Linked DNA regions of Oryctolagus cuniculus. The protein of the gene in region 1 purifies or fractionates together with the protein of each later gene. This does not show direct contact. Links are inferred from orthologs where the notes say so. Each region holds a gene or a part of one and is shown in the gene's direction. Other genes may lie near its edges.

Region 1 (5,383 bases):
ACTGGCTTCCCTAACTTGATATGTTCCAAACTGAATAATTCCTTCCACTGAGGTCCCACTTCAGTTTATCTTATTTTTGTCATAGTTGGCTTTGGTTGGACATTCTTAGGTTTTAGCTTTTATCCACTTGACAGGCAGTTGATTTATAAGCCGTAATGAATTCTACTTGCGCAGCATCTTCCCCAGGTAGACCAGGGATTCTCAAATTCTAATATGCATCATGATCAGCTGAAAATGGAAAACATTGTTGTGCCCCACACCAGAGTTTCTGATTCAGTAAGTCTGGGGTGGATCTAAGAATTTTTTTTTTTAATTGGCACAGAAAGAGACAAAGAGATCTTATCTGCTGAGATACTCAAATGCCTTCAGTAGTTGGGGCTGGGCCAGGCTAAATCCAGGTCTCCCACATCAGTGGCGTGGACTCCAGTACTTGAGCTGTCACCTGCTGCCTCCCAGGGTACACATTAGCAAAAAGCTATATTGGAAGTGAGGAGGGCACTCACACCCAGACACTCTGCTCCTGTATGGCATGCCAGCTGCCTAACTGGCCTATTAAAAGCTTTACCAAATGCCTGCCCCTGTATTTCTAACCAAAGTTCCCAGGTAATGCTGATGGTATTGGTCCTGGCACCACAGTAGAAGAACCTCTGCTTTGGGGGAGTGTGGTGCAGAAGGTTAAACTGCCAATTGGTGTCCAGTCCCATATCAGAGTTTGAGTTCAAGTCCTTGCTACTTGACATCCAATCCAGCTTCCTGCTAGTGTACTCTGGGAAGCAGAGTGAATCATGGCTCAAGAGGTTGGGCCTCTGCCACTCATATGGGAGACCTGGGTAGTTCGAGCTCCTGGCTTCAACCTGACCCAGACCTGGCTGAAGCCATTTGGTTGTGAGCCAGCAGAGGGAAGGTGAGGGGGTCGTGGCAAGGTGGCAGGGGCCCATGTGCTTTGACCATCTTCCATTTTGCTGCTTTCCCAGGCATATTAGGAAGCCAGCTGGCGCCGTGGCCCAACAGGCTAATCCTCTGCCTAGTGGCGCCTGCATACCGGGTTCTAGTCCCGGTCGGGGCGCCGGATTCTGTCCCGGTTGCCCCTCTTCCAGGCCAGCTCTCTGCTATGGCCCGGGAAGGCAGTGGAGGATGGCCCAAGTGCTTGGGCCCTGCACCCCATGGGAGACCAGGAGAAGCACCTGGCTCCTGGCTTCGGATCAGCGCGGTGCGCCGGCTGTGGCGGCCATTGGAGGGTGAACCAACGGCAAAGGAAGACCTTTCTCTCTATCACTATCCACTCTGCCTGTCAAAAAAAAAAGGGGGGGGGGGAAGCTGGATCAGAAGCAGAATAGCTGGGACACCAACTGGCACTCCAATATGGGAGCTGCACCACAGCATAGCCCCTTAAGTTAGAAAAAAGTGCTTGGAGGGGCTGGCACTGTGGCGTAGCAGGTTAAGCCTCTGCCTGGCGACTGGCATCCTATATGGTGCCGATTTGAGTCGTCTTGGCTGCTTCACTTCCAGTATAGCTCCCTGCTAATGTGCCTGGGTAAGCAGCAGATCGCCTTGGGCCCCTGTACCCATGTGGGAGACTTGGAAGAAGCTCCTGGTTCAGCCCTGGCCGTTGTGGCCATTTGGGGAGTGAACCGGTAGATGGAAGATTGGTTTCTGTATGTGTGTGTGTCTGCCTTTCAAATAAATAAATCTTTTTTTAAATACTTGGAAAATTTAACTTATGTGGTTCTTATACTCAGCTGTATGGAAGATGCATTAAAAGTAGAAAACAGGGGGGCCGGTGCTGTGGCACAATGGGTTAACGCCCTGGCCTGAAATGCCGGCATCCCATATGGGCGCCGGTTCGAGACCCTGCTGCTCCTCTTCCGATCCGGCTCTCTGCTGTGGCCTGGGAAGGCAGTGCAGGATGGCCCAAGTCCTTGGGCCCCTGCGCCCACGTGGGAGACCTGGAGGAACCTCCTGGCTCCTGCCTTCGGATTGGTGCAGCTCTGGCCGTTGTGGCCAATTGGGGAGAAAACCATCAGATGGAAGACCTCTCTCTCTCTCTCTCTCTGTATCTCCTCTCTCTGTGTAACTCTGACTTTCAGATAAATAAATAAATCTTAAAACATTTAAAAAAAAAAAAAGTAGAAAACAGGGGCAGGCATTTGGTCTAGCAGTTAAGACACCTGTATCTCACTTTGAAATTCTCTGGGTTCAATACCCAGTTCTGGCTCCAGCATCAGCTGGGAGAGAGGCAGCATTAATGGCTCAAGCGATTGGGTTCTTGCCACCCATGTGGGAGGCCTAGAATGAGTTTACAGCTCCCAGCCTCAGCACAGCTCCACCGTGAGCATTTGAGAAGTAAGCCAGTGGGTGGGAGTTCTGTGTGTGTGTGTCTCTGCCTCTAAAGGAGAATGGAAGCAGGCACAGGGCATAGCAGTTGAGATGCCACTTATCCCTTGTCAGAATGCCTGGGTTCAACTTCTGCTGTGATGTCAATTCCAACTTCTGCTCATGTGCTTCTTGAGATGTAGTATGTGATGGCTTAAGTAGTTGGGTCCCAGATACCCAGGTCAGAAACTTGAATTGAGTTCTTGGTTTCCCCAGTTTTGGCTTAGCTTAACACTGGTTGTTGTGGGTACTTGGGGAGTGAACCAGCAGATGGGAGATTGATACTGATATATCTTTCTCTGCCTCTGCCTCTCAAATTAGTTTCTGAAAATGTTAATTTTTTAAAAAATTTATTTGAAAGTTGTTAGAGTTACACATAGAAGGAGAGGCAGAGGGAGGGAGAGGTTTTTCATCTACTGGTTTACTCCCCAATTTGCTGCAACGGCTGGAGCTGTGCTCATTTGAAGCCGGGAGCTTTTTCCTGGTCTCCCACGCGGGTGCATGGGCCCATTGAGTTGGGCCATCTGCTGCTTTCTCAGGTCATAGCAGAGAGCTGGATCAGAAGAGGAGCAGCCAGGACTTGAACCGGCACCCATGTGGGATGCCAGCACTGCAGGTGGCAGCTTTACCTGCTACGCCACAGCACTGGCCCCAAGGGTTTTGGAAAATAGGGAGCAGTTTTTTAGCCTGGTAGTTGAGATACCCATGTTCCACACTGAAGTGCATGGGTTCAATTCCTGATTCCAGCTTCCTGCCAGTGTGTGCAGTGGTGACAGCGCAAATAATTGGGTTCCTGCCACGCACATGGGAGTTCTGGATTGAGTTCCCAGCTTTTAAATTCAGCCCTGCCCTAACAACCCCAGCTGTTGGAGGCGTTTGGAGAGTAAACCAGCAGATGGGAGTGTGTTCACTGACGCCCTCCCCCATCTCTCCCTTGTTTTTCCTCTGTCCCTGTGGCTCTCAAAAGAGGGAAAAAAAAAAAGTGAAAAAGGTCAGAAATAAGGCTCTTAATGACTTTCTGCTCTGAAAACTTGGTTGTAATAGTGCCCTATTGTGTACATTTATGTCTGTGTGATCTCTCTTGGTGTTACTTACTTGAATAGTAACCATATATTGATATTACAGACCAGAAGGAAAAGATTTCAGCATTCATCGACTTGTCCTGGGGACACATACGTCGGATGAACAAAACCACCTTGTGATAGCCAGTGTGCAGCTCCCTAATGATGATGCGCAGTTTGATGCCTCACACTACGACAGTGAGAAAGGAGGTAGGAATCTTAAAGGTGAAAAAAGTAACCAGTTTTAGCTTTCATATCTTTGAATTACCATAAAAGGAATATGCAATTTGATAAGGTAACTTTTCAAGTTAGAAGCAACATTTAAGCTAGGGGAAAAAAACATGTTTGTTATAAAAAAAATATTAACATGTACTTGATTGTGTACCTTTGTTATACACTTTTCTTTACCAAAGGGCAGGGGCAGTGTTTGTATAATTGAAAGAAGCAAATAACAGCCATATCTTATTGGCTGTGTCCGCTTACGGATGAGGGGTTGCCCTTGAAGAGGTGAAGATTTGCTTGTGGGTGTGAGTAGATATAAGCAGTCTTACTTTTTGTATGAATCAAGCAATCAAGCACAGGTACAGAGGCAGATGTTGTACAGTATGTTGAGCTGTGTCTTGGGTTACCCCATCCCAAACTAGAGTGCCTGCTTGAAGTACTGGCTACCTTGTGCTTCCAATCCAGCTTCTTACTAATGTGCCTGGGAGGCAGCAGGTGATGGCCCAAGTATTTGAGTTTCTGCCACCAAATGAGACACAGATGCAGCTCATGGCTGATGAGGGCTTTTGGTGAGTGAACCAGCAGATGAAAGATAAGTCTCTGCCTCTGTTTCTGTCACACTGCCTTTCAAATAAATCAACCTAAAAAAGGAAACATACATAGGGTATATAAACAGGCATCAAGAAACATGGGTCTGAATTACCCTTGCTATGTGTGATTGGTAGCAATCACTTAACTGTGGCACTCACTGTGTATATAAAGTTAAATTTCAGTAAGCCATTTATGTCCTATTTTTAGGAAATACCCTAAAGGTTTAAATGCTCTTGAAATGCTTACTCCTTCCTTTACAGGAGTGGGAATTGGTGTTTCTTTTATTAACATCAAAGTCAAAATCTTTGTTTGTTTGCATGCCATCCTTCAAATCAGTTTTATTCTCTGAAGGGACGGGACACCAAAGATAAGTTTTTTATAGATGGCCAATAGCCTACAGTGGGGACCAAATGCCCATCCCTATCATATCATTTGTAACATTGTAAATTGCATTACTCTTGTCATTTATCCACTATTCAAAGTCAAAATCTTTAGATAGAAAATGGGGTTCATTATTAAGACTTGAACTGTAAATAATTAATGTTTAATATTTCTAATCTTAGATTTCTCCTGAATAGAATGAATTTTTATATCTTTAAGTTACTTACCATGATTGTAATTGTATTTTTTGGTGGTCTTGGGTTGAGTGTGTTTTGTCTTTTTGTTTTTTACATACTTGTTTGAGTGACAGGCTGAGAGGGAGAAAAACACAGCTCTTCCATCCAGTGGGTCAGTCCCCACATGACCACAACAGATGGGACTAGGCCAGGCCAAAGCTAGGAGCCTGAAACTCAATCCAGGTCTCCCACTTGAGTGGTAGGGAACCAGCTACTTGAGCCATTGCTTGCTGCTTCCCAGGGTGTGCATTAGCAGGAAGCTGGAGTTGGAGGCAGAACTGAGACAAACCCAAGACTCTTGATTAAGAATGCAATTGTCCCAAACTTTTTTCCTTTTTTTTTTTTTAATATATTAAGGCAACAAATTTCACGTGCTTCATAAATAGTTTTATTTTAGATTCATTTTTATTTATTAGAAATGCAGAATTACCGAGAGAGTGAGATCTTCTGTCCACTAGTTCACTCCCCCAAATGGCCACAATGGCCAGGGATGGGCCAGGATTAAGTCAGGAGCAAGGA
Region 2 (6,017 bases), on another chromosome or scaffold:
CAGCAGAGAGCTGGCCTGGAAGAGGGGCAACTGGGACAGAATCCGGCGCCCCGACCGGGACTAGAACCCGGTGTGCCGGCGCCGCAAGGTGGAGGATTAGCCTAGTGAGCCGCGGCGCCGGCAAAGCTCACGCAATCTTAAGCCTCCAAAGCTACCGAGAAATCAGAAGCTTTAGGCTGTGTACCACCTAGGCCAGCTGGTCGCCAGAAAAATGGAGTTTACTCGCATGGTGGGATGGCTCTGGGGACCTGGCATCTGAACAGCCAGGAGAGGGGATGGTGGCCCTGAACCCGAGTACACTCAACGCCACGGCTCACGACAGCCCAGGGGCTGCGCACGGGAAACGGAAGCTCCTCCCCCTCCAAGAAATGCTGACCCAGGATCCTGGCCGGAGCTGGAGCGCTTGCCATGAGCACAGGGGTTGCTGTCGGTGGGGCGGGGCGGGGCGCCGGCCTCACAGCCCCCTCGCCTTGCTATTCCTGAGCCACCACGCTGGCCATCGGTATCCATCAGCCAAGCCACTGAAATGCGGGCCCTGTGCCTCCCCATCACTGCCCGCCCCAAGCACCCCGAGAAGTGAATGAGGGAGTGTGTGATGTCTGTGTTGTGAGACACACGCCTGTGACCGGAGGCAACTCCGTGCTGCTCTGGGGAGGATTTTTGGGCAAGAGTCAGGAATCAGTCAGCCCTGGCTGCAGACAAGCTGCCCTTGTAGTTGGGGAGCTGAGCAGGGGCGCCCCAGGAGGGCAGGCTGGTTTTCTCCAGAGCCCACGCCCCAGCTGCTGGCCCCCGTCTGCAGAAACAGCACGCGGGGTGGCCCCAGGCGGACCTGCCTTGGGTGCCTGGGTTGCACAAGTCATTCCACTTCTGAGCCTCCTTCCGCTCTGCTCACCTACAAACGAGGATGGCGAGCGGGGCATAGCACACAGGGCAAAATCAGGTCCCCTCCCAAAGAGAAAGGCTGTGCTGTGCGTGGCAACGCGCCGCCGGGGCTCAGAGCAGCCTGGGGCGTTCAGGGGTCCCCGCCGGGGTGGCACTCGGGGCAGTGAGTACGCTGTCCGGCTGCGGATCTGCTGTGTCAGTAACCTCACCCACGGCACACCACCTGCTGCCCAGAGCCTCCCAGGACCTGAGCCACATGCTGGCAGCACCGGGATCCTCCTCGCGGCCGGGGTCGCCGGGTCAGCCTCTTCCCCCAGGCAGGGACCCAGGGACCCAGCGAGAGCCAGGGGGCTCGCGGTGCAGGCCGGCGCCCGCTCTACCCTACCGTTTGCCTCATCTGACGCCGGCACAGCGCAGGAGCACACAGGGCTCATCTCCCGGCTCCCCCTCCTCTCCCCTCCGTGGTCTCCCCAAAGCTGCGGCTCCCCACCTGCCCTCTCTGCTTACAGCCCAGCTTCCCACGTGGACCCTGGGGCCGGGGCGGAGGGTGGGGGTGGCGGCTGGCAGCCTGTCCGCTCCATTTCCCACCCCGTTTCGTGGAGAGGCTCAGGCCCAGGTAGGGGAGACAGGAGCTCGTTTAAGCCTCCGACAACGGCCACGCGAAGCGCAGGGCCGAATTCCGCCAGCCCCGAGCTCCTCCGCCTCACCCCGCCGAGGGCCGCTGGCTCCATTTGCCGCCCACCGCCCACTCCAAATAGCCGCCCTCTCCCCTGAGTCTCTCCAACACTGCTCGCCTTTCTTGCTCGCACGCATCCCCTGGCCGTGCCCTGGTCTAGTGTGCCCCGCCTGAACTACCGGCCCACCGCACGGATCCCTCCGAGCCCCGACCAGCCGGTCTCCCTCGCTCACACCAGGCGCATCCGGCCTCTGCTGAACACAGACCTGCGGGGTGGCCCTGCCCCCTGGAAACTCTTTTCGGTTGGCAATGGAGACCAACAGAGCAAGGGCGGCAGGGCAGAGGCAGGGCAGGCGTCGCAGCACTGTAGCCACCAAACCCAGCGCCTCCCTCCCCTCACTGGGCACACCCCAGAGCCCACCGGCTGCTAGGGCGCTAAGCACCCGACCACACCGGCCTGGGCCTGCGACCGGCTTTTGGTCCAGCTAGGAGACGTCCCGCGGCTTGGGGCCACCTCTGCCACCCTGGTTTCCAGCATCGCAGTCCTCACGCTTTCCACCTGTCCCTTCGTGCCCTTTGCCCCTCCGCTTCTGCCCGGGGCAACCCCTAAGACCCACCTGGCTCGCCGCCGCCTCCACGCGGCTCCGCCGGCTTACCTGCAGCCGGCAGGGCTCTCCTGGGAGCGCCCGGGAGTCGGCCAGTCTGTGCGGGAGCACACTCCCGCCTCGCCTCGGCTCCTGCGGCAGCATCTCCACCGCGCCCGCACGCCCCAGGGCTGGGGTGACTCCCTCGCCGGGCTGCACGCAGGGCTTCCCGCCCGCACCCCTCGTCTCCAGGCGCCCAGCACGGCGGGCCGCCGTCCCGGAGCCCCGCCGCCCGGGACCCTCGAGGCGCCGCCGCGACGGCACCGGGGATCCTCCGCTCCGGGCTCGCCTAATTTATTTATTTGCACGGTTCCCGGAGGGAGGGGCGGGGCGAGCGCGGAGGCGGGCCCTCGGCCGTGACGCAGCGCCGCGGAGCCAATGGCCGGCGGGGGGCGTTCCCCATTCAGCACTCCTCGCCCGGCTCGGAAGGTATGTTAAACAGCTGCTTTCAATTCGGTGCCCCCGGCCCGCGTCCGGGGGGCGGCTCGCCGTGGCCGGCCCGACGCAGAGCGGGCGCGCAGGCCCCGGGGCGGCTCGGAGTCCCGCGGCCGAGGTAGGCGAGGGGCCGGCCCGGAGGGAGGGCGCTCGGCGCCGCCCGCCCGCCCGCCACTGTGTCTCCCGGCCGGGCCGAGCCGTGGGGAGGGGGCGCCAGCGCCGGCCGCGCCGCCTAGTGTTGCCGAGCACTCGGTGTCGGTAGGTTTCGGCGGCGGATTGGGGAGCGGCGAGCCGGAGGAGTCTCCGGCTCCGCTCACGCCTTTTTTTTTTTTTTTAAGAAAAACACACGAAAAGCAGCAAAAAAAAAAAAAAAAAAAAAGGTGGGTGGGGGGCCCTGCGCGCCGACCGGACGCGCTCCGGCAGGCGGGGGGCGGCGGCCGGCCCGGAGTTCCCTCCGCGCGGACTTGCCGGGCGGGCCGGGCTCGCGGCTTCCCTGCGCGCGCAAACTTGCACGAGGGGCGCGGGCGCCCCCGGCCCGGGGCCGCCGCCCTCGCCCCCCGCCGCCTCGCCGCCCGGAGCGGCCGTGAAGGTCGGAACCTGGGGAACTGTCTCCACGCTCGCTCGGGAAGAGGAAACGCATCAGCGGGCGGGAGGCGGGGCGCAGGCGCCGGGCGGGGGCGCGGGCCCGGCCGGCCGGCCGGCCGGCCGGCCTCCGGCCGCGGCCCAGACTGTTTACTACCGACTCCGCCGGCGGCTTGTGCAAGCGGCCCGCAGGGGACACGCGGGGCGGGGCGCCGCCTCGCCGCCCGCCGCCCCGGGCTCCTTGCGGGCCCCGCCTGCTCTTGTCTTCCATTGGCTGCTCGGGACTCCCTCTTTCGCTTCTCGGGCACGGATTGGCTGACATTATCTCGAGCTCCGCCTATAGGGAGGCCGGGCAGGAGTTTAAGTTGCTAGGGTTTTTTTTTTTTTTTTTCCGTGAAGGGCGGAGGGGGGGGCGTCCTGCGGCTACGTGAGGCGCGAGGGCCCGCCCCCGCTCCTGATTGGCTGCGCGCGCGGCCCCGCCCCCGGCGGAGCGAGCCGGGAGGGGAAGTCCGCCCTCGGCCGCGAGCGCGCCCCGCACATGTGTGAGGCCGCCGCGCTGCTCGCGTGCCTCCCGCCCGGAAGTCCCGGCTCCGCGCCCCGCGGGGGGAGGGGGTGGCGAAGGCGCGCTGGGCTGCCCGGCATCCCGCGGCCGGCGGCTTCCGGGTGGCGCTGGGGGCTCTGCGGGCGAGGGTCTGTCCGTCGGGCCGGGGCCGCGCTCTGAAGTTCGGGCCCGGCGGCGTGGCTGTTTCCGCGCGAGAGCGCTGCGGACGCCGGCAGCCGCTGCCCTCGGCGGGCCGGGAGGGGACCCCGGCGCGGGGTCGGGGCGCGGCGCGCGGGGCTGGGCCCGAGCTGCGCCCCCGCCGGGGGGTCGGCTCCCCGCAGTTCCCAGCTCGCAGCCGGCACTCACCTGTTGCCGGAGCTCGCTCCGAGGCTGCGGAGGGAGGGCGGTGTTGGGGTCCCCTCTGCGGGCGAGAGCGGGAAGCCCCGAGCCCCGCCCCCCAAGCAAGGCCACCGGCGGGCCCATGCCCTGTGTGCCGGCACCTGGTCTCGGTGCAGCTTAGCCTTCACGGAGCGGACCTAGGGACTGCCAGGAGCCCACGGTGGCCGAGGTGGACGCCGGCCGCGCCGGCCTCACCGCACGGGGAAGCCCCCGCCCAGAGGGGTCTGACCGCACGCGGGACCCCGGCCCAGAAGGTGTCTCTGCACGCGGGACCCCGGCCCAGAGGGGTCTGACCGCACGCGGGACCCCGGCCCAGAGGGGTCTCTGACCGCACGCGGGACCCCGGCCCAGAGGTGGCCTCTGACCGCACGCGGGACCCCGGCCCAGAGGTGGTCTCTGGCCGCACGCGGGACCCCGGCCCAGAGGGGTCTCTACCGCACGCGGGAGTCCGGCCCAGAGGGGTCTCTGACCGCACGCGGGACCCCGGCCCAGAGGTGGTCTCTGGCCGCACGCGGTACCCCGGCCCAGAAGGTGTCTCTGCACGCGGGAGTCCGGCCCAGAGGGGTCTCTGACCGCACGCGGGACCCCGGCCCAGAAGGTGTCTCTGCACGCGGGACCCCGGCCCAGAGGGGTCTGACCGCACGAGGCACCCCCGCCCACTCCGGTCCCTTCCTCGGTTCCTCCGCTGGCTCTGCCCCCGAGGCGGCCAGGGCGGTGGCCGTCGGGCCGCTTTCAGGGCTGCCCGTTCCGGTCGGGTTTGTGGGCGCAGCTCTGCCCCGGCCGCTGCTAGGCGGCGGCGTGCGACCGCCAGGCCGGAGGCTGAGGTTCGCGGTGAGGGGCGCCCGGGCCCCGGCGCTGCCCCCGGAACTCCGAGCTCGTCTCGGTGTCAACATTCCACCAAAGGACGGCGGGGCGGAATCGCCGGGGGCGGGCCCGGCGCGGCTGTGAGGTGGGAGGCGCCTGCGTCCCGCACGGACACTGTGCCCCACAGCGGCTGCCTTCCTGGGGCGCCGAGAGCCGGAGGTAGCCTTCCGAAACGCTGACCGGCGGAGGCGGGAGCCGACCTGCTCGGCCTGTGGCTGAGACGGCGCGGGGCGGGCCGTGCGGTGTCCTCCAATGAGACGAGAAGAGCTCCCCCGCTTCCGCCAATGGTGTTGCGGCTGGGGGGAGGGACTCGGCAATCCGTCTCCAATAGGCGGGGTTGAGTTAGGGAAGCTCCCCGCCAATAGGGGCGTGGAGAGGGTGAGCGGCTCCCCCTCCCTTCCCCACCGAGAGGGAAGGGGCGGGAAGTCGGCGGGCGGGGCGCAGTAATTGGCTGGCCTTTTGACTGGCGGGCGATGCGTCCTGTGGAGGAGCGAAGCCGAGTCCTCCCTCTGCTGGGCGGGCCGGGGGAGTGGGCGGGATTTCCCGGGTAACAGAGAAGCGGCCGCGGCGGTAGAGGCGGCGGAGACGGTTTCTCCATCTCCCCCTCCCCTTCCCCCCACAGAGTTTCCCTCCTTCCCTCCCTCCCTCCCTCCCAGTCTGGGCAGCCGGGCCTGTGACCGCCTCGGTAGCGGAGCGCAGGCTGCCAGTCCGCTTCGGCGGCCTCTGCCCCGTGCGGCTCTCGGGGCCTCCTGAGCCCGCGGCTCACGCCGAGAGGGACGCGCAGTGACGAGCGGCCCTAGCAGCTTCGCGGTGAGAGCCGGTGGGCCGAGCTCCGGCGGGAACCCGGGCGGCGGGCAGCGCCGGGCCGGAGGGTGTGTATTGGGGGGGCTGACCCCCGCGGCTTCCCGTAGAGCGGGAGGCGTGTGGCTGTGCGAGCGGTGGGGGCGGAGCGGGGCGGCTCGGCGCGGGAGGGGGAGCGCGTAGTCCCGGTGCG
Region 3 (6,092 bases), on another chromosome or scaffold:
CACTCTGCCTGTCAAAATAAAATAAAATAATGTATGCAGCCCTTAGCTCTCAGAAGCCTCCATCATGAACTCCTTTGGTCCTGCTGACACTGTTTTCAACAGTAAATATATTGCCCTGATGTTTAAAAATCATGCGCTCTAGGGTCTGGCCTAGCAGTTAGGACTCCCATGTCCAAGTACTTGGGTTTAATTCCTGGTACCGGCTCCTGATCCCAGCTTGCACCGTGTTCTCCTTTTGTGTGGGTGTTGGGGTCTGCAGGGGGGTCTGCAGGGGCCAGAGGTGGGGGAGGGGGCCTTTCTGCCACTGAGCAGCTTGGCTGAGAGGCCCTTTAGGAAGGAACCAAAGATTCTAAGGAGGGAGAACCCGGCTTTGAGTAAATTTGCGTTTTACTATAAAAATCGACGGCTAAGGCTGTGGGTCGTTCGCCTCATTGAGGAGTATTTACTTGTTAGGGACTTATCCTGCCCGTTCTGCCATTGGGAATCTGGGTATGAGAAATGGGGACACTCTTCAGCACCCAAGAGTTCCATTGTCTCTGTTCGTTACATAGAAAAAAATAAATGCATAACCATTAACAGCTGCTGTTTGCAATCAAGGAGATGGAAATAAACCATAAACATCCCAGCATCTTGCAAGGAAACCATGTAGCAGCAAAACTGACCTTTGGTGGGGGGGCTTCATGATACCAGTGAACCCTGATTTCTTTTTTCTTTTTTTTTTTGACAGGCAGAGTGGACAGTGAGAGAGAGAGACAGAGAGAGAAAGGTCTTCCTTTGCCATTGGTTCACCCTCCAATGGCCGCCACAGCTGGCGCACTGCGGCCGACACACCGCACTGATCCGATGGCAGGAGCCAGGTGCTTCTCCTGGTCTCTCATGGGGTGCAGGGCCCAAGCACTTGGGCCATCCTCCACTGCACTCCCGGGCCACAGCAGAGAGCTGGCCTGGAAGAGGGGCAACCAGGACAGAATCCGGCGCCCCAACCGGGACTAGAACCCGGTGTGCCGGCGCTGCTAGGCGGAGGATTAGCCTATTGAGCCGCGGCGCCGGCTGAACCCTGATTTCTAACCCATGGATGCTGACAGGGACTCAGGCTGCTCAAGAGAGCTGATTACAAATAATTCAGATAGGAAGCACAGCACAGGAGAGGACAATGGCTTCCTCCTCTGGACGAGCCAGTCCTGGACGGCAGAAGCACAGTGAGCCCGAGTGCCCCTTGTTTAGAAGGAGTCTCTGAAGATCCACGAACTCCTGGAAGACACTGCAAGGTTCCATTCTGCAAATTCTCGGGTTTTGTTGGGAGGAAAAAATCCCTCTCAAAGACGGAACAGATTTGAATAAAACAAGGTGGTCCACAGGACATACCCAAACCAACTCCACCCAGGCCACAGAGGATCACGGAACCAGAACGCAAGCTCCTGCCCGGCTCCCACATTTCTGGTCGGCTTTACCTTTTTTCTTTTTTCTAGGATTTGTGTATTCGTTTAAGAGGCAGAGATACAGGGAGGAGAAGGGGAGATGGAGGGAGGTTTTCCACCTGCTGGTTCACTCCCCAAATGGCCGCAACAGCCACAGCTGGGCCGATCCGAAGCCAGGAACTGGGAGCTTCTTCCAGGTCTCCCATGCGGGTGCAGGGAACCAAGGACTTAGGCCATCCTCCACTGCTTTCCCAGGCCACAGCGGAGAGCTGGATGGGAAGTGGAGCAGCCGTGTCTGGAACCGGCGCTCGGGCCCCGGGCTGTGGCCGAACTCCTGGGTCAGCTTCCCTGCTTGCTCCTTGCTCTGTGCAGACGTGGGAGCCGCCTGAAGAGCGGGGTCACTTGGCACAAACCATCAAACGTGGGAGCTGCATCCCTTTCTCCCTACGCACGCACACCGGGCGGACGGTGTGTTCCCCAGCCCAGGGCGCCTGCGTCCGCTGGCTGAGCCGCCCGGTAATCCAGGCGCCTGTCTTCAGCCCGGGTCTTTCTTCCGGGACCCAGATTCTCCCTCTGTGGGGCCGTGCCCAGCTGTAGTTGGTTGGAAAGCTACTGGGTCGGCGGAAACACCGTGAAAACGTTAACATCGGCGGCCATGCGAGGCAGCTGTGCTCTGGAGGGCCTGGATCTGCGGTCTACAGAAAGCAGACTGGACGCTACCATGTTTTTAAAAGCAAGTGGCCGGTCTAGTTTTTTTTTTTTTTTTTTTTTTTTTACCGGCCTGATGACCGTACCATGGGCTACCTGCATTTTAATCTTTATTTCAATTCTTAATAACGTTCCACTTCGGGGAGGGGCCACCTCCCTTTTCCTGCATGACCACGTACTCTGGACGTGTAGACTTCCCGCCCTATTAGGAGGACGGTCCAGCACGTCCACCTGCCGCCGGCCCTCTAACCCCTCCGCCCCTCAGGTCGCCGGCGGCCCTCGCTTCGTTGTGGCCGCGGGCGCCGCCTGGCGGCTGTTTCCGGAAGCCTCCCGTGAACGATGGGGTCCTGGCCGCGGCTAGGGCTGCCCGTGGATTTGCCTGACTCCAAAGAGCCGGCCCGCGCCCCTCCTCTGCCACCCGTCGAGGATTTTAAGACGGCGATGAAGGTGCTGGGCTCACGGCGAAGGAGGCGTCTGTCGGCCTTTCCAGCCGTTCGAGAATGGCGGAGTCAGGCCGTCGTCGGGCAGCCCGCGACCCGGAAGTCGCCTTCGGTGCGAGGTCCCCGTTGCCGAGCGCGGGCGCGGGGGGCGGAGCTCGGCGGAGACGGGGAAGGGGTCGCCCGGGCTCCCGCTCTTCGAGTCGGGGAGTCGGTCGGGCGCAGTTCCGCGGACGTCCGGCCCGCAGGGCGGGTGGCCGCGGTCTCCTCCGGGCACGCTCAGCTGCGGTCAGAGGCGGCATGAGTGCCGCGGGGCTGCTGGCTCCGGCCCCGGCCCCGGCTGGAGCGCCGCCGGCCCCGGAGTACTACCCTGAGGAGGAAGAGGAGCTGGAGAGCGCCGAGGAGGACGAACGCAGCTGTCGGGGCCGCGAGTCGGACGAAGGTGCGACCCCAGCCCGCCGGACAGCGCGGGGCGGGGGTGAGAGCGCTGGGGATGGGGGCGTCGGGGCGGGGCGCGGCCTGGGGTGGGGGTCGCCGCCACACGTGCGGGGGAGGCGCGGAGCCGTGGGTGCGTGGTACCCCGGTGGCTACGAGGAGAGGGGACTTCCAAGTCGTCAGAGCGGGAGGGCCCTTTAAGACTCCGGCACCCCACCCCCCAACCGTCTGTGGCTGCCCCTCGGCCCTCTCCGGGCGGAACGGGACGGCCGCCCGTGGAGTGCACTAATGTTCCTTTTCGTCATCGAGAGAACGCGACGAGCGCCCGGCGTGGCTTCCCGGGGCGCGGGGGTGGGAGGCCGAGCGGGAGCTGCCGCCGGCCCGGTGCAGGTGCAGGTGCAGGTGCAGGTGGGCGCTGTGCCCCCGGGCCGCCCCGGGTGGGCGTGAGGAGTCGGCGAGGTAGCGAGCAGCCCGTGCTCTGCCGGGTCACCGGCTCGCAGCGTCTGCGCCTCCCCGGGAAGCCGAGGGCGAGACGCATTTGCTGCATGGCCGCCCCGGTGTGTTTGCGGCGCCGAGTGCTCCTACTCGTGGTCCCTCCGGCTCAGAGCTCTGGGTTTCAGGTCCAGGGCTAAGCTTTGTAGGATGTATGCAGCCCGGGCTGTTTTTGGAGGATTGGGGCGGGGTCGGGGTCGGGGTCGGGGTGGGGGGACAAGGAAAGGTCAAAGGGTGCGAGAGAGGCCGGAGGGAGAGGCTGCCCCCGCCGGCTGGGGTGCGGGGGGTGGGATGCAGCTCGGCCTCCCGCGGGCCCGGTAGTGAATGGGGCCGGTGCAGGGAACTCTCTAGAATGAAGGAGCAAGGCGGCCAGCTGCTTGTGCGGGACGCGAAGTTGAAGAAACTGCGTTGGATTTAGAGAAGCTTGGAGGCAAGGGTGAGCCGGACTGGGAATCGGAGTTGCTTGTGCTGCTTTTCGTGTCCACCAGGTGGAGCTGTGAAACCAAAATTGAGCCCCCCCCCCCCCCCCCAATCACATGAACTTGGTGTTTGGTTGTTCACTTTAGTTATAGCTTTGGGAAGATCTGTTATTAGAGTTCAGTGTGTTCTGTAGAATTCACCTTTGTTATATGTGTGGAACTGAAAAAAATGTTTGTGTGCCAAATAAAGGTTCCTTTAATTGTTTTCCATGAACTTTTAGGAGTTCCTCAGCTGTATCTGATGTAAAATGCGTGGAGGGCCCCGACGGGGCAGTGCACACACAGGCTGAGCATCTGTAATCCGAAAACCCAAAATCCAGAACTTTTCAAGTGCCCGTCATGCCCAGCAAGGTTCGGATTTTGGGCTTCTGGCTTAGGGATGTTGAACTCGTAAAGTCCATGCAAATATCCCCAAGTAAAACACGGTTCCCAGCACTTTGGGTCACAGGCGTTTTGGATAAACAAAACTCAGCTTGCACTGGGTGTTTTCTTGTGTTTCAAGAGGCAGAGAGCTCTTCCTTGTTGGGTCACTACGCGGATGCCCACAGTGCCAGGGCTGGGCCAGATGGGAGCGGGGAACTCAGTCTGCGTCTCCTACGTGGGTGACAGGGACCCGGATACTTGAGCCATCGCCTTCTGCCTCCTAGGGTGTGCCCTGGCAGGAAGCGGCGGCCAGGAATTGAACCCAGGCACTGCAGGGATGTGAGCCCCTGCCTAGGTTGTACCGTGTTGTGTGTTTGGGAGCAGTAGGGCTTGGCTGTGTGCTGTGTCCGGTCTTGGGTCCCCGTCTTTGCTGAGCTGCCACTGTGGCCGCCTCTGCAGACGCAGCAGAGCTGACCGTGGCCACCGGCGTCTCGGGCACCCTACTCTCCGGCTGGGCTTCAGATAGGCAAGCTCTTTGTGTGAACTGTGTAAGTGGGGAACGGCGCTTTATTTTCTGAAGTAAGTATAGTCACTGTTTCTTGTTGGTGGCTTCATGCAAGCGTGTGTTAAGTAGAGTTCGTCTTGCAGGAGTTTAGGAAGTGCTTGCCCTGTGCCAGCTGTACGAGTCACGATTGTAACCAAGCCGCCTTGCGTGTTTCTCTTCAGACACCGAGGATGCTAGTGAGACTGACCTGGCCAAGCATGAGGAAGAGGACTACGTGGAAGTGAAGGAGCAGTGAGTGATTTGTCTTTCTTCTGTGGGACGTGGAACTAGCAGTAGAATCTGGACTTGACCTCATGAATTATTTTGAACTACAGTACTTCCAAAGACCATGCGAATGTGTGCTGTTCCCACCTCCAAATGAGTCATGTTTCATTCATCTTCCTCTTCTAAGACTCTTGAGGGGCCAGCGTCATGGCTCACTTGGTTAATCCTCCGCCTGCGCTGCCGGCATCCCATATGAGCGCTGGGTTCTAGTTCCGGTTGCTCCTCTTCCAGTCCAGCTCTCTGCTGTGGCCCGGGAAGGCAGTGGAGGATAGCCCAAGTGCTTGGGCCCTGCACCCCATGGGAGACCAGGAGGAAGCACCTGGCTCCTGGCTTCGGATCGGCACAGCGCCGGCCACAGCAGCCATTTGGGGGTGAATCAACGGAAGGAAGATCTTTATCTCTGTCTCCTCTCTCACTGTCTAACTCTATCTGTTAAAAAAAAAGACTCTTGAGGGTAGGCTACGAAGAACTTTGAAGGAAATGATCAAGGGAGAGAGAATAAGGGCTGTTAGGAAAATGGCGCAGGCACAGTCTTATCTGTGGCACGATCTACACCTGATTTACATTCTATACCCCGGTTCCCACCGCCATAGCTGAAAGCCAGGTAGCCACATGGCCCAAACTACCTGTGCCAAGCTCCACCCTCAACCTAATGGGATTGGCCAATTCCTACCTCACTGCCCGCCCTCTGGAAAAGGTATATTAGACCCCCTTCCCAGACAAGCTGCCCTTTTTCCCTTCGCTACCCCACCCCTCTGGTCTGTTGGGTTTTCCCCAATAAACCCTTTTCCTTACTCCGGTGTCTGGTGTGTTTTGTGACAGCCTAGTAGAAATAGATAACAAGGGCGTTTAAAACAGCAGATAACTTTATGGCATTGCTCTTCATTTTTTTGGATGTGAAAAATCAGTGCTCAGGTTTCTTCAAGCACCT
Region 4 (6,019 bases), on another chromosome or scaffold:
TTTGATGTATTTAAAGCACATAATCATTGGCTGTGCATTTGGGCGCCAGTAGTTAATACCCTGGTAGAGATGCCACATCCCATCCAAGTGCCTGGGTTTGAGCCTGATTCTGCTTCTGATGCCCTCTCTCTGCTAATGCAGACCCTGGGAGTCGTTGGGTCTCTGTCATCCATCTGGGAGACCCGGATTGAGCTCCTGGCGACTGGACATTAGAGAGTGAGGAAGCTAATGGCAACTCACTCACTGGCTTGCTCGCTTGCTCTCCCTCTTTCTTTGGGAAGTGAACCAGTGAATGGGAGCTTGCACACTTTCTCTCTCTCCCTCTCTCAAATAAAATATGTAAATGTTATAAAGTTAAAGGAAAGTGGCATTGAATGTTTGTTTTTTAAAAGCACATAATAATGCTTACATAAAGAATGACCAGAAATCTAAGCTATTGTTACTTTTAGAACACACTCTGCTAGCTGCTGATATGTCAAAGATTAACAGAGGCCAGGAATTTTACCCACAGCTGTTTTTGTTTAATCTGGAGTTTAAGAAACCAAAACAAAATGAAACAAAAACTTCTCTTGAAATAATGTTTTACAATCTGGATATTTCCCATAGAGATCCAAAATTCCATTTTCTCTTAAAAATTGGAAGGGCTGAGTTCCTCAGACCAGAATTTGCAGATACTGGGTAGAGAAAAAGGCAGCTGCCCCTGTAATCCACACACTCACATAGTTTCTGTCTCTTAACTCTTCCTGCTGATCTGTTATTCCCCTTTGAATTTATATTCATGCTATGACAGCCCCCACACTCAAGGAACCCACAATCCAATAGGTGAGGTGCGTTTGCTAAATAATTCACAATTCTGCACAGTGTGATGCAAACAAGTACAACGCACGTCCACGCTGAATGGTGGAAGTGTTGGGGGTGATATGTTTCTTGTCAAGAAAGTGACTTTGGGGTTCAGCGCTGTGGCATAGTGGGTAAAGCTGCCACCTGTAGTGCCAGAATCCCATATGGGAGCCAGTTCGACTCCCAGCTGTTCCACTTCCAATCCAGCTCTCTGCTGTGGACTGGGAAAGCAGTGGAAGATGGCCCAAGTTCTTGGGCCCCTGCAGCCATGTGGGAGACCTGGAAGAAGCTCCTGGATCCTGGTTTCAGATCAGCCCAGCTCCGGCCTTTGTGGCCTTTTGGGGAGTGAACCAGCAGATGGAAGACTCTCTCTTTGTCTCTGCCTCTCTAACTCTGCCTTTCAACTAATAAATAAATCTTTTTTAAAAAGTGACTTTAAGAAAAAAAGAGGAGGAGGAAGAGGGTTGCAGAGGGATTAGAATGTGCAAAATGAGAAACAGCTGGTGTGTTTGGAAATGTAAGGAATTCAGTTTGGGAGCTATCATGAAAAGGGGAGAAGAAAGCCCATGCTTCATCAAGTCCCTTGATCTGGATTTACTTTGGAGCAGGTAGATTGCTCTTGAAATGTTTCCTGTCACTAAATTACAAATCGAATGCAGTTACATCTGGATACTCTTACCATCCTCTATCAAATGTTGGGATCTGGCTTTTGAGAAATAGATGCTGGGGCAGGCATTTGACCTAGTGGCTAAGATGCTGTATTGCATGCCTACATTCCATGCTGGAGTGCCTGGGTTCTGGTCCCAGCTCTGCTTCCACTCGGCTTTCTGCTAATGTTCATCCTGGGAGGCAGCAGGTAACTCCTCAAGAAGTTGGGTCCCTGCTATCTACACAGGACAGCTGGATTGAGTTCGTGGCACATCGCTTCAGCTTAGCCTAGCCCCAGCTGTTGTGGGCATTTGTAGAGTGAACCACAGAATGGCAGTCACACACCCGCCTCCCTTTCTCTCTCTCCGTCCCCTTCTCAAATAAAATAAAATTTAAAAAAGAAGAAATGCTGCATGAAATATATTTCCATAGCAAATTGTCGTGTCAACAAGAAGTCCCTTCTTTATAATGGGTAAAATATAGTTTTAAGTTTTGTCTGCAAATGAAATTTCCCTCCCTGCAAAATGAAGATAATAATGGCACCTGCTTAGGACTCTTGAACTGATATCTAAATTCAAGGTAGCCCATGCAACAGGCTTACCAAGACATTTGATGCAGAATAAAAATGGTCAATTAATTTGAGTTGTGATTGTGGAACTGAGTCTTCCTTGTCTGTGTACCCTATCCTTGAGAATATATAACATCTCATTGGGTCACATACGTAGTTTTCGTTGAAAAGTGAAGTTAAATCAATACCAGTGGCATCTTCCAACGGCATTTGGTAAAAAATAAATGGAAAAATACTAGATTGAGAATGCCAAGCCAAAATTTCTTTCTGTATTATCAATTGCAAAAGTTTCAAGAACAATTTTAAAGATGTTTGTGCAACACAGAAAGTGCAAGTTACCTTGCATAGTTAACTATTCAATGTAACGCTTTCTTAGTCGTAATAAAGACTCCTAGAAGAGGCGGTTCTCTGTTCTGCAGCTCAAAGAGCAGGCAAAGAGCCCTACAGGCAAAAAACTCTTTCATATCTGCCAGCAACGTCTTGGATAGCCAGGGTGGTCAGACACTCACTTGGCGGGAAAAGCACACATACAGACCAAATTCGCACAATCTGTTTCGGGTTAGTTTATAAATTGCGATCAAGGGTGCCAGCGTTCGTGCCTTGTGGGATTTGAAGTCCAGAAAGAAGAAGGGATCCGGGCTGTCGAAGCTTGGAAGTCGGCAGCCCCTGCAGGTCTCCGCTCTGAGGACTACAACTCCCGACACGCACCGCAAGGCCGCGCTGTAATTACCAGCAACCAATCGTGCCCCAGCAGGGCAAACCCCGCCCCCGCCTTGGAGCTCGGCCTCCGCCAATGGCAGAGCTCCCAGGGCTGAGCCTGCGGGTTAGGTTGTGAGGCCCGGGCCGGGGGCGGGGAGGAGCCGAGGGGGTTCAGAGCAAGCTCGGCCGCTGGGTGGGTCCGGGCGTTCGGCGCGCCCTTCACTGAAGCGGCGGTGGCCGGGCTGGGCGCCGCGAGTGGGAAGCGACGGCGCGGCTGGAAAATGCCGGTGCATTCCCGGGGGGATAAGAAGGAGACGAACCATCACGATGAGATGGAGGTGGACTACGCCGAGAACGAGGGGAGCAGCTCCGAGGACGAGGACACCGAGAGCTCGTCGGTCTCGGAGGATGGCGATAGCTCAGGTGCGCGACCCAGCAAGGCTGGGACCCTGAGTCCCCGGCCGGGCGCGCGACAGGCCGCGCTCCGCACGCCGGGCAGCCGCGTCCTGCTGGGAGAGCGGGGCGGGGAGAGAGGGAAGGGGCGGAGACTGGCTCCCGGCCCAGGGCTGCACCCAGACCGACCGGTCGCCCAGCGCTGCCTGCTCCAGGGAGGGTCCCGGCCAGCGGGGCGGGGCGGGCCTGGGCTTGCCCAGCCCCGGAGCTCGGCCCCCGAGCAGCCCCGGTGGGAGCCGCCCTAGACACCTCCCGGCGGTGCCCTGGGGTCTCGCCCGGGTGGGAGGCAGCCCACCGACCTCTCTCCTTACCCTTACCTTTGCAACTCCTACTTCTCAACGTGGGTGGATTGTGGGGGTCCAGGGTGGACCCCAGGTGCTCCTGGCCGGCTTGGAACGGGTTAACCCCCTGTCAGTCTGCGCTTCCCACCAAGTGCCCTTGCAGGGGGCTAACTCGGGAGCTGTCCCGTTTGCAGAATGCCCCTGAAGTTTTCAAGGCTGAGAAGAAGGGAACACCATCGGGGTGGTTTGGATCTTCATCTGTTTATGAATTGGCTGGTTTGGGGGGCAGCATTGAAATGCTCCCAATCTTTTCTTCCCTCCCCCTTTTCCCGACTTTGGGCTGTTTCACTTTTGGGGGTAACGGTGGGGGAGGTGGTGATGGCAGGGCTTGAGGGTGGGAAGAGAGGGGAGGAGAGGGCAGATTAACCCCATCAATAAATTCTGCAAACTTTCGGGAATGGCTACTCAAAAAAGAGAGGGAATCTGTGACTACCTGGACTCTTTTCCTTCTGTCCCCGTTACGGGGATGAGACTGGTTTCTTTGTCTTGGCCTGATTTGGACCGCATAAAGGAAGCGCTGATGACAGCTTGACAGTCCATCATCGCCCTAACGCCCCCTTTCACGTGTCCCTTTCAAAGCAAATCTCCATGGAAGGGTGTCATTTCGATTAATAAATCACCCAATCCCAAAATAAATATTTATGAGTGACTTCTTTGTGTAGCACCGGGCACAGCTCAGTCTGAGGTCTAACTAGTTCTGATCTCTCTCAATCAAAGAGCTGTCTTAAGTTACCGCTTGATTAAGTTGCTAAGTGAGTGCTTAGCTAAACTGCTGTAGGAATCGAGACGAAGAGGAAATCTTTTCAGAATTGATGGCCAGCAAAGGCAGGTTGAAGCAGATGGGGTTATCCTGAAGAATGAGTAGGATTTGTACTGCTGTGGTAACGTTCAGGTGCTCCTGGAGGGCAAGGAATGTAAGAAAAAGTGCAAAGGCCAGAGCTTACGCTTACTCAAGAGTGAGGAAACCATTTGGTATGGGAGAAGGCTGAGCTAAGAAACTCAAAAGAAAGGACAAAACAGGATTGATGAGTGCACGTTTAGGAGTGAAGCGAAGAGAAAACCCAAGATACCAAGAGAATGGTGATAGCATCAGTGGACAGAGAGAAGTAAAAATGTGAGATGAAGATCAAAGAGAAGGTATTTCCGTTGTGTTGCTTTTAAGTAGGAGTGTGTATTCAACCAAGAATGCCCAGCTGGCAGATGGGAATGTGGCCTTGGAATCTGCCTGGGGTGGGAGGAATAATTGGAAGATCATGTGCCTGGCCATTGATGTAGGTGAGATTTCAAAGTGGGGAACAGAGAGAAAGAAGGATCAGGACTGTATGTAAATATATTTCCTAGATCTGTAAAGCATCAGCTTCAAGTATTCTTAGCTTTTTTAACGAGAGCTGAGATGTCAAATAATTACCTCTCTATTTTTTATTACTTTATTTTTTTAAAGATTTATTTATTTATTTGAAAGTCAGAGTTACACAGAGAGAGAAGGAAAGCAGAGAAAGAGAGAGAGAGGTCTTCGATCCGCTGGTTCACTCCCCAGTTGGCCACAAAGGCTGGAGTTGGGCCCATTCGAAGCCAGGAGCCGGGAGTTTCTTCCGGGTCTCCCACGCGGGTGCAGGGGCCCAAAGACTTGGGCCATCTTTCACTGCTTTCCCAGGCCACAGCAGAGAGCTGGATCAGAAGTGGAGCAGCTGGGACTCAAACTAGCACCCATATGGAATGCCAGCACTGCCCGTGGTGGCTTAACTCGCTACGCCACAGCGCCAGCCCCTCTCTCTCTCTATTTTTAAAGATTTATTTTACTTGAGAGGCAGAGTTACAGACAGAGAGAGGGAGAGGCAGAGAGAAAGGTCTTCCATCTGCTGGTTTACTCCTCAAATGGCTGCAAGGGCCAGAGCTGCGCCCATCTGAAGCAAGGAGCCAGGAGCTTCTTCTCCCATGCTAGTTTAGGGCCCAAGTCCTTGGACCATCTTCCAGTGCTTTCCCAGGCACACTAGCAGGGAGCTGACTGGGAAGTGGAGCAGCCGGGACTCGAACTGGAGCCCATATGGAATGTCTGCACTGCAAGTTGAGGCTTATCCTACTGCGCCACAAAGCTGGCCCCAGCTCTATTTGTTAATATTCTCCCCCAATAATTTTTGTATTGACTGTTGTGATTTTTGATTTGTTTTTAACTTCAGCCCAGAAAATCATGGATAGACCATGAAAACTAATAATTTGAACCACCAGTCAAAATTTTTAAGTGCGAAGAAATTACTTATAGCTGTGTTTTTCAATTTTGCTTCTTGTAAAATCATCTCTATTCTACCATGTATTACGCACGTTAAACTTCCAGAATTTTATTCTTTTCAAACCTTGGTACTGAGCAGATCCTAAGTCCACAGAAAAACCTCTACTATCCAGAGAACGTGGGGAGTGAGTCATCTGGATGAACCAAGTTTTAAATAGCCTAGGAATAAGCTAGTGGAACCAA

The links. The genes of interacting proteins can lie anywhere in the genome.
Region 2: the proteins of RBBP4 (region 1) and SIN3A purify together in Homo sapiens (affinity purification with mass spectrometry; 11 studies listed by BioGRID and IntAct, with this or other methods). This does not show direct contact. The link is inferred for Oryctolagus cuniculus from reciprocal best matches to the Homo sapiens genes RBBP4 and SIN3A.
Region 3: the proteins of RBBP4 (region 1) and SUDS3 purify together in Homo sapiens (affinity purification with mass spectrometry; 5 studies listed by BioGRID and IntAct, with this or other methods). This does not show direct contact. The link is inferred for Oryctolagus cuniculus from reciprocal best matches to the Homo sapiens genes RBBP4 and SUDS3.
Region 4: the proteins of RBBP4 (region 1) and BRMS1L purify together in Homo sapiens (affinity purification with mass spectrometry; 5 studies listed by BioGRID and IntAct, with this or other methods). This does not show direct contact. The link is inferred for Oryctolagus cuniculus from reciprocal best matches to the Homo sapiens genes RBBP4 and BRMS1L.

What each region holds. Positions count from the first base shown.
Region 1 is NC_091438.1:139,884,548-139,889,930, reverse strand, and holds part of RBBP4 (histone-binding protein RBBP4), read left to right. Parts: intron 1-3,498; coding exon 3,499-3,644; intron 3,645-5,383. UniProt on the Homo sapiens protein: Core histone-binding subunit that may target chromatin assembly factors, chromatin remodeling factors and histone deacetylases to their histone substrates in a manner that is regulated by nucleosomal DNA.
Region 2 is NC_091443.1:108,520,315-108,526,331, forward strand, and holds the start of SIN3A (paired amphipathic helix protein Sin3a), read left to right. Parts: upstream 1-2,608; 5' UTR 2,609-2,631; intron 2,632-2,730; exon of another isoform or gene 2,731-2,755; intron 2,756-5,553; exon of another isoform or gene 5,554-5,895; intron 5,896-6,017. UniProt on the Homo sapiens protein: Acts as a transcriptional repressor. Corepressor for REST. Interacts with MXI1 to repress MYC responsive genes and antagonize MYC oncogenic activities. Also interacts with MXD1-MAX heterodimers to repress transcription by tethering SIN3A to DNA.
Region 3 is NC_091452.1:14,520,395-14,526,486, forward strand, and holds the start of SUDS3 (sin3 histone deacetylase corepressor complex component SDS3), read left to right. Parts: upstream 1-2,683; 5' UTR 2,684-2,863; coding exon 2,864-3,041; intron 3,042-3,853; exon of another isoform or gene 3,854-3,926; intron 3,927-5,058; coding exon 5,059-5,128; intron 5,129-6,092.
Region 4 is NC_091443.1:39,764,792-39,770,810, reverse strand, and holds the start of BRMS1L (breast cancer metastasis-suppressor 1-like protein), read left to right. Parts: upstream 1-2,610; 5' UTR 2,611-3,036; coding exon 3,037-3,178; intron 3,179-6,019. UniProt on the Homo sapiens protein: Involved in the histone deacetylase (HDAC1)-dependent transcriptional repression activity. When overexpressed in lung cancer cell line that lacks p53/TP53 expression, inhibits cell growth.